Linked DNA regions of Nothobranchius furzeri. The protein of the gene in region 2 interacts with the protein of the main gene of each other region in a pairwise test. Links are inferred from orthologs where the notes say so. Each region holds a gene or a part of one and is shown on either strand. Other genes may lie near its edges. The genes, in order: rpp25l and rho guanine nucleotide exchange factor 2.

The links.
Region 1: the proteins of rho guanine nucleotide exchange factor 2 (region 2) and rpp25l interact in binary tests that used the Homo sapiens proteins (3 or more experiments, as listed by UniProt). The two-hybrid records come from large-scale screens. The link is inferred for Nothobranchius furzeri from reciprocal best matches to the Homo sapiens genes ARHGEF2 and RPP25L.

The regions. Positions count from the first base shown.
Region 1 is NC_091745.1:59,630,705-59,635,313, reverse strand, and holds the start of rpp25l (ribonuclease P protein subunit p25-like protein), read left to right. Parts: upstream 1-1,704; 5' UTR 1,705-1,807; intron 1,808-1,824; exon of another isoform or gene 1,825-1,848; intron 1,849-4,609. UniProt on the Homo sapiens protein: May be a component of ribonuclease P or MRP.
Region 2 is NC_091745.1:66,292,205-66,296,021, reverse strand, and holds part of rho guanine nucleotide exchange factor 2, read right to left. Parts: intron 3,429-3,817; coding exon 3,285-3,428; intron 3,173-3,284; coding exon 2,922-3,172; intron 2,666-2,921; coding exon 2,540-2,665; intron 2,310-2,539; coding exon 2,192-2,309; intron 1,734-2,191; coding exon 1,485-1,733; intron 1,376-1,484; coding exon 1,299-1,375; intron 1,096-1,298; coding exon 920-1,095; intron 765-919; coding exon 697-764; intron 1-696. UniProt on the Homo sapiens protein: Activates Rho-GTPases by promoting the exchange of GDP for GTP.

The DNA.
Region 1 (4,609 bases), about 6.7 Mb from region 2:
AGAGAGAGGATGAAAGTCACAAGGGAGCTGAGAAGCAGGATGAAAGAGAGAAGGAGGAGTTGGTTGGAGAGGAACCAGAGAGGTCAGAGGCTGTCCACCCTGAGAGTGAGGAGGAGGAAGATGTAGGCTGTGAGGGAGAGAGTGAGGAGCAAAAAGAGGGACATCTTCTGTCATGTGCACTGTGTGCACTACCGTCAGGTTTGTGGGTGTTAAACAAACCCCTCTGTGTTTGCAGCTCATATTGTGTGTAAAATGCATTTGAGGCATGCTGACTCTGGACCAAAATTTCTGTTGTTTATATTTAATAAATAGATAAAATAAGACTCAGAGTTAACTAATTATGACTTTTATCCTCATGCTAACATTTATTTTCTTTCAGATATCAGCAAGTGCAAGGATGACCCACCTACTCAGCCTCATTTGAGAACATTTCCAGTGACATTAATAGGAGACAGAAGATGCAGCTTTCAGCCAAGCTGGTATGAAAGTCATCCAATTGGGTTGAATATTCTGTTACTATGGACTCTACTTATTGTCATGCATGCAGACATTTTAGCCCACCAAGTAGCGCAGGAAGTGTGTTTGACTCACCATGTGGATTTAGGAACTGGAAAAAAGCAACTGAGAGAGGAGGGGGGTTTTCAGTACACGCAAAGTCTGAAAGGCATAAGGATTCAATGATAGCGTGGAGGGACTACCAGAGGGCTGTGAAAGCTAATACAACATTGGCTAATATACTCGACAAGGAACTCAGTAAAAAGGTTAAAGAAAATCGTGAGTTTATCAAAACAATTGGTGAAGTGATTTTGCTTATGTGTGTGTGTGTGTGTGTGTGTGTGTGTGTGTGTGTGTGTGTGTGTGTGTGTGTGTGTGTGTGTGTGTGTGTGTGTGTGTGTGTGTGTGTTGACTACAAAAAGCAGATTGTATTGTGCAGATATTTTATTTGTTTGAATGTTTATTTTTCATATGTACAGTTCATATAATCTTCAAATAAAGTCACAAACTATAATAATTGACTAGAATTGTTTTTTACTCAAGTCTCATGTTGCGGTGAAGCATTCAGAATTGTTATCTGAGTACCATAAAAACATGCCAGTTTTACTTTCACAAGTAAGCCATTACTGCATTCGCCGTAATAGTTTACTTGTTCATTGTCTTTTAATATGATTTTTTTTCTTGTGCCCCCATGAAAAAATACTGGCCCCACAGTGGCCCCCCTGGAAAATTTGGTCTAGAACCGCCCCTGGTTTGGTGATGTGCAGGAACAGGTGGAAATTTTTGTCTCAATGGAACTTCAAAATAGAATAATTTTCAAAATAAAAATGAATTTGCATACATTCTTTACCAATTGATTTTTGCTTTTTGGATCGATGGCCATGATGGATGTGTCAAAGTAGATCAATGTATTGTTACATTGTGAGTACATTTTGAGGCATGCTGAAATTTACTGAAATGTCCCTGGAGCTTCCGTTTGTCACCTGACGTGTTAAGAGAGAAACAACAGCTGTGTTCAGTTTGCTTTGAAACATCACAATAAAAACTCTTAATTAATTATGAGTTCTGCAGTCTTATTTGCTTAGACAGTGTAACAAAATAGTCCTTGCTGTGATGGAGCATCTGGGCTTGTTTTCCATGGTTTTCATAGGAATTTTATTGTTTTTCTGAAACGTATGATTCGCGGTACTTTAAAAAACTACAAGTGTCTCGTGAGTTTACGACAGTTTTTGTGGTTTTACGGTAACGTAACCTGTTGTGGTAAACATGCGGACTCGGAGCAGTGTTCAGTAGTAAAAGGAAAGAAGTAAAGGTAAGAAGATAGTGTTTTCATGCTGCAGCGGACCACCTAAGGTTTTTATCTTGTGTTACCCCTTATGACCTGCGTTTGTCTTATTTATGACCATTTTAAAAACACTTGTTTACTGAACGGTTAGCTTTAGGTGAGTCCGGGTGAAGCAGCTTCCTGCGGTGAGGTTTATTATCATCTGAGGTGTTTTCAGGTCAGAGTTTGAACAGCCTTGTTGGCACATGTGGTTAGTTGGAGTGGTTGTTGTTTGAAGTTAGCTGTCTAGCTAGTGTGCTAAAGGCTAACACCGCATTGAACGCGAAGTTAAATTATATTGTGTATCATTTCTGCGTGTGATGATGTCATAAGCATGCCGAACACTTAAAAAGACGCAGAATTGTATTTTAAACCTTCGTTTAAAACCAAGTTCAGCGACGTCATCACATCTGGGTAAAAATGCTATTTTTGTGTGGAGTTTGGTTTGCGCTCAGAACTGAATTTTATATCTGTTTAAAAACTCAAAAGGTTGGAAATGTGTTTAATCATGACTAGGGTTGCCAACTCCCTGAAAAATAAATAAGGGACACCTCGCGGGCAGGGCGCTCCAGGCCACCCTTCCCAGCGTGGTGATTTTTTTGCTCTTTTTTTGTGTGTGGGTGTGAAAGGATTTTTTTTTTTTACTATTTGACTTGAAGTTGGTTTAAGAAGATGCATATTCTTTGTGATATGAAAACATGGGAAACAAATGATCATTTAGCCATTTATTTATGGCGTGAAATTACAAAATTATTATAAGTAACAAAGGTATTTTTCTTAAACAGAAAACTGTTATGCTCAACTTTTTGTGCAAAATGACAAAAAAAAGTAGGTCTCTTTCTTAAACGGTAGCCTGTTATGCTTTACTTTTTAGAATATAAATAGCTCTCTTTAAAACAACTCTGTTCTGCTTAACTTAAAATTGTATAAATTAATAGAAAACAACAGAAAGAGCAACGCTGTAACTGCACATTGAGTGCAATTAGAAAAGTGCAAACAGAAAGTCTGTGGAGAAGCTGTAAACATATTTGTGCCTCAAAGGCCTTGACTGTAGCCTATGGTTGAAGTAAAAAAAAAAAAGTCCAAACTCATGAACTCAAAAACTCAATGCTACATTATGTGAAAACAGACTATTTTCGCCATTTGTATTTCTTTTGAGATCTTGCTGCATTTAGGAGTTGTTTGTCTTTCAGTACTGCAGAGTAAAACTCTGAGCAAGACATGTCACAATTTAGAGTGACAATGAGCTCACATCTAATTATTTCAGTAGAACATTTGTTCCGCACATCAGTCCACTTATTCTTCATGAGAGAGAAAATCCTCTCTGCCAATCCAGTGGAAGATGGGATGCTGAGTACAAACGATACAACAGGCTGGATGTTGGAGAGGTCAGCTGCCTGAAGAATTTCTATACACTTCTCTGCTGTTCCCTTGGACTGCCACTTTTCCTTCTCCTGAGGTCCTTTGGTGAGGTGCTCCAGAAGGCTGGCTGCAGTGACACACTCGTCATAAAGCTCATCCATAGAGATGTTTAACCTGCCAATGGAGATAAGAAGTAAACCTGGGTTATAAGCACCACATAGAACACTTACAGTGGTAAATAAATGGAAAACATTTATTGTATATTTATTGCATTGTATAGCTTTTATACAATACAATAGTTCACTTTATTTATTATGTATTTATCCATCCTTTTAGTTTAAAATTATCCAAACAACATATAAACCAAGACAAGGCTACATCGAAACTAAACACCCAAGTTAAAAAAAAAAAATAGAAAAACTAATGACAAAACAGAAACAGACAACAAAAATAATAAAAATAATGGTAAACAAGCCCCAACACAGTGGGTTTTTTTTTCTTCATATAAATACCTTCACTTTAACCAGAGGGTTTAAAAAAGCAATGTTTACTTACCATATCTGCTTCTGCCATGGCCTTGTGGACGACAAATGGATCGAGGGTTCCCCGTAATTTCACGTCCTTTATGTTTTTCATGTGGCTACTACTAGACGCATGTTGCTTGAGGTCAGTGAGTCCACCATGCCCTTTGGAAAAACTGCGCCGGTACACGGTGCAGTGCGCTTTATAGGTGTTCTCGCGCAGTTTTTCCAGCCAGGAATTTTCCTTTTCCCATTCCTCCCTGTATTTTTGAAGCCTTTTTTCTTCTTTCTCGGAGGGGTACTGTCGTCCGAGACTTGTACAGCAGTGTCGGCGTTAGTTTCCCGGTTGGCCGTGCTGTTTGCTGTCGTCTGTTTTCTTCCGGTATCTTCTCCCCAAGCGACCGTTCCTCGACCAATGAAATAAGCGGTAATCTTATCGTCATATTCGTGTGTAAGCATGCGGTCAGTTCATTAGTCACAGAGCAGGCGAAGGGCTGGCTTTCAAACAAAGCGTTAATTCCGGTAATAGACTACAGACTAATTTTGATCCATACTATATTACGGGACAAAGTGCGTCCCTTTTGAGTTCAATACGGGACGTGCACTTTTGTTTCTAAATACGGGACGATTCCGTTTTTCAAGGGACGGTTGGCAACCCTAATCATGACTGATCAGCTGCTTTAAATGGGAAAACTTCAGTTGTCCCTAACATCCTGACTTATTACAACATATTTGTTAAAATAAAACAATTTCTTTTTATTCTGTTCAGTAGCAATCCCTTTCCTTCACAGCACTGTACAAGTTGTAATTATAAGTCTCAAAATATGTTCCGTATTCAAGAAGTAATTGAATCAGCATGCTGACACTTCCTCTGTCAAAGAGAGGGGGGCCTAACAGATTAAAGATG
Region 2 (3,817 bases):
CTGTCACCTCCTCCTTAATCCTGATCTTCCTGTCACCACCTCTTCCTCCTACTGCTCCATGTCACCTCCTCCTTACCCCCTTTGCTTACTGTCACCTCCTTTCTCCTGCTGCTCCCTGTCACCTCCTGCTGCCCACTTTCTCTTCTTTGTCTTTCCTTCTGCTGCTCCATGTCACCTCCTCTTTTCTCCTACTGTTCCCCATTACCTCATCTTCCTTCATTCTCCTGCTCCCTATCACCTCTTCCTCATGCTGCTCCGTCACCCCCTCCTCCTTCCTCCTCCTTCTCCCTGTCACCTCATCCTTACCCCTTTTGCTTACTGTCACCTCCTTTCTCCTGCGGCTCCCTGTCACCTCCTGTTTCCCCCTGCTGGCCACTTTCTCCTCTTTGTCTTTCCTTCTGCTGCTCCATGTCACCTCCGTCCTCCTGCTGCTGCTGCTGCTGCTCCCTGTCACCTCCTTCTAGCTTGAAAGGGCCTCCTTTGTCCAGCCATTCCTGGCCTACCTGGTCTTCTACGGCATGGACAACATGTTCCTGAAGGACGGATGCCATCGCTCCATGAAACAAACCTCAAACTGCAGATTAAAACTTTTTCTCACCCTGGAGGAGGAGTGGAAGCAGGAAAGTACAGAGTCTAAAAAACCCTAAACAGTAAATATTTCACTTTAAAACTGCGCGCGCGCACACACACACACACCTCGGAGTCGTCTCAGCAAAGCTTTGTCTTCCGTTTCGATGAGCGGAAACTCATCTCTGGACGGACAGCTGCAAGTAAAACACAAGAAACTCTGTTACTGTGAATACACTAAAGTACTGGAAAGTTTCTACTGGTACTGTAGTCTTCCTGTGAGTACCTTAAGGTCCTTCCTTTGAGGAATAAAGTTTCAGTTAGTACTGCAAAGTTCCAGTAATGTTCTGACCTGAGAGCAGCCTGCTGAATGCGGCTCATCCAGGTCTTGCGGTCGTCTTTGGATGAAGCGTACAGCTCATACATCTCTGGAGGACTAGAGTCACTACTGATCAGGTACATCCCTCGCTCCTGATTGGCTACTTCTCGGACAATCAGGTTATTTAAGGGGACTATTGGAGATTTGTCCTGAAAGACATAAGGGAGCAGACAGACCGGTGAGTAGAGAGGTGAAACTGTCCCATAGATCCTCGTGATCTTGCTTATCTCATCCTGGGTTGTGAGACAAGGAGGTCACAAGGAATGATCAGCTGTTCATGTAGGATAGATTTGGATAGTTGGACCAGGTTAGTCCTAGATAAGGTGACCAGGTGGGATGTTTTATGACTCACCAGTGATGCAAAGGTGAATTTTTGGTCTTTCTCCTGGAGAAAAACCAAGATGTCTGACATCAGTAACACCTGCACATCTGGAGATAAACATATAAAGACAATCAACAGGGAAAAGCTCCTCCCACACGTGTTACATAACAACATAAAAGAGCTAAGCCCTGGTTTATGGTCCTCCTACTCCTTTACCTTTCATTCTAGAACCCTGGACTTTCCAGAGGATTGTCCCATCATGAAGAAGCTTCCTCCTTAGCAGTTCCCCTCCTCTGAACACTCCTCCTCTCTGGACTTCAGCCTGGGCTCGAGGATCCAAACGAGCTTGGATCTCCTGCAGCCTTCTGGTGCGGTCTAACTCCAGAACCTCCTGGTCCACTGAGCTGATCAGCTCCTTAAGGAGGTGCAAGGCCTTCTTCAGTGCTTGTGCCTCTTCTTCGCATCCTGCAGGAGAATCGAAAAGATCGTAGACGTACATGAGGTTATCATTCAATCATCATGTAAAAACATGGTGTAAAAAGGGGCGTGAAATGTATGCAGTCTGTTCATGTGTGTGTGTGTGTGTGTGTGTGTGTGTGTGTGTGTGTGTGTGTGTGTGTGTGTGTGTGTGTGTGTGTGTGTGTGTGTGTGTGTGTGTGTGTGTGTGTGTGTGTGTGTGTGTGTGTGTGTGTGGACAAAGGAGCTGTTCAGCTACTCTGCTAGTGTGCTGCTGCTGTTGGGAGGATGTGGGAGGGCCTATGTAGCTGATTAGGGCCTGGATGCCCGTGAGGTAGGATATACGTAGGTTACAATAGGGACGAGCAACATCCTCAAGGATGTAGGAAGAAAGAACTTTCCCACCTAGACAGTTTGAGATGAATCATCTTCTGATTCTAGGATAACGGTAAGCAGTATGAGGTTACCTTTGGTGTTGTCGAGGATTCTCTGGATGAGAACGGGATACTTTGTGATCCGTTGTGTCACCAGAAGGATGCACTCTTGGACGCCATGTCGACGAAGCAGAGGACCACGACACACACGCTGAGAATCATAGAACACGCAACAAAACATTAAAATAGAATGACTTCAGATCAATTCTGAAACAATTCAAACCAGTTGAAACTAATTAAGGAGAAAAATAAGACCAAAGAGGATGGACTTCCGTTATTCTGACCAGTGATGAACCTGATGTGGAGCAGAAAGGACCAAACAACCTCCATCAACCCTACCCCAGTGCCTCACTCATATGAATATAAATCAAACCAGCTCACCCGAATGAACTGTTGCAGTCTTCGGTCTCGAGTTAAAACTTCTTTGTAGAGCTTCACAGCTTTCGGGTGTCGACTGCAGAACTCTGAGTAAAGTTTCTTCATGTCGTCTGCACTTTGACCTGAAAACTACAAAAACATAAAAATGTAAGACATTAGGATGTTCTATCTGCCACCGTACAACAGATTTACTCAACATTCATTTGTCTTTCAGGGGCAGATGTTGCAGATGTGACCAGTACGATGACCAGAATGAGAGCGTCCAGCAGGGGGAGCCATCTCCCATTAGCTCAACTCAACTCTTTGTTTCGTTCAGCTGATAACGACATTCCCTTTATTTAAACACCTGCATCTCTTAGACCAGCTGTCACATGTGCCGGCGTACCTGTCGGAGCAGCAGGTCTCCAAGCCTGCGGATGGTGAAGTTAGTGAAGCTGCCCTCCATCAGTCCGTCCTTCCGCCTGTTCATCAGTTCAGACAGGAAGTTGGAGTGAAGCTCCACCAGCTGTTCCAGGCAAGGGAAGATGGTGTGAACCACACCTGCCTCCAGCATCACCTCCTCCAGCATCCCTCGCCGGTACACCCCTTCCATGATCCGCAACGTCCGGACATGATGGAACTCAGTCTGGATCAACTCTGAGAAACAAGTAGAAACGAGTTGTTGTAAAGGCTAAATGGAATCTGATCAGCACCTGACCACTCTACCAACTGGCCCATATTACAGATATTCCTTTCTATTTCCTCTCACCGTAGATGACGTCCTGCTGTTTGATGACGTCTTTGTGCAGCGTCTGCAGGAAGCTGGGTTCCACAGCCAGACTCCAGCTGTCGGCCTGGACGCAGATTCCCTCTGTACGCAGTTCTTCCAGCAGGGGGCTCGTCCACCACTCTCCTGATTGCACGTCAACACAAATACAGATTAAACAGGTTGCTCCACCTTCTGAAAAGTCCCATCTTCAGGATTTATTTTTGGAATCTGAGCCCTTTGTGAGCTGGAAACCTGGCTGAAAGTCTCACCTACTGACCTTCTCCAGTCAGGTATTCTTGATCATCCAATGACTAATTCCAGGCAAATGTGTCAAAAACAAAGACATCCAAACAAACAGTCGCCAGGAGAAAATTACATCAAATCAAGGCCTCACTATATCGCCTGTGGGGTTCCTCTGGGGGTCAGTCCTCGGGCTGACTCTTTATCTTCTACACGCTTCACCCCAAGGATCCATCATCAGTAGGAATGGAATCACTTTCTACTGAATTTTAGCTCCTCAGACTCCACCTCCT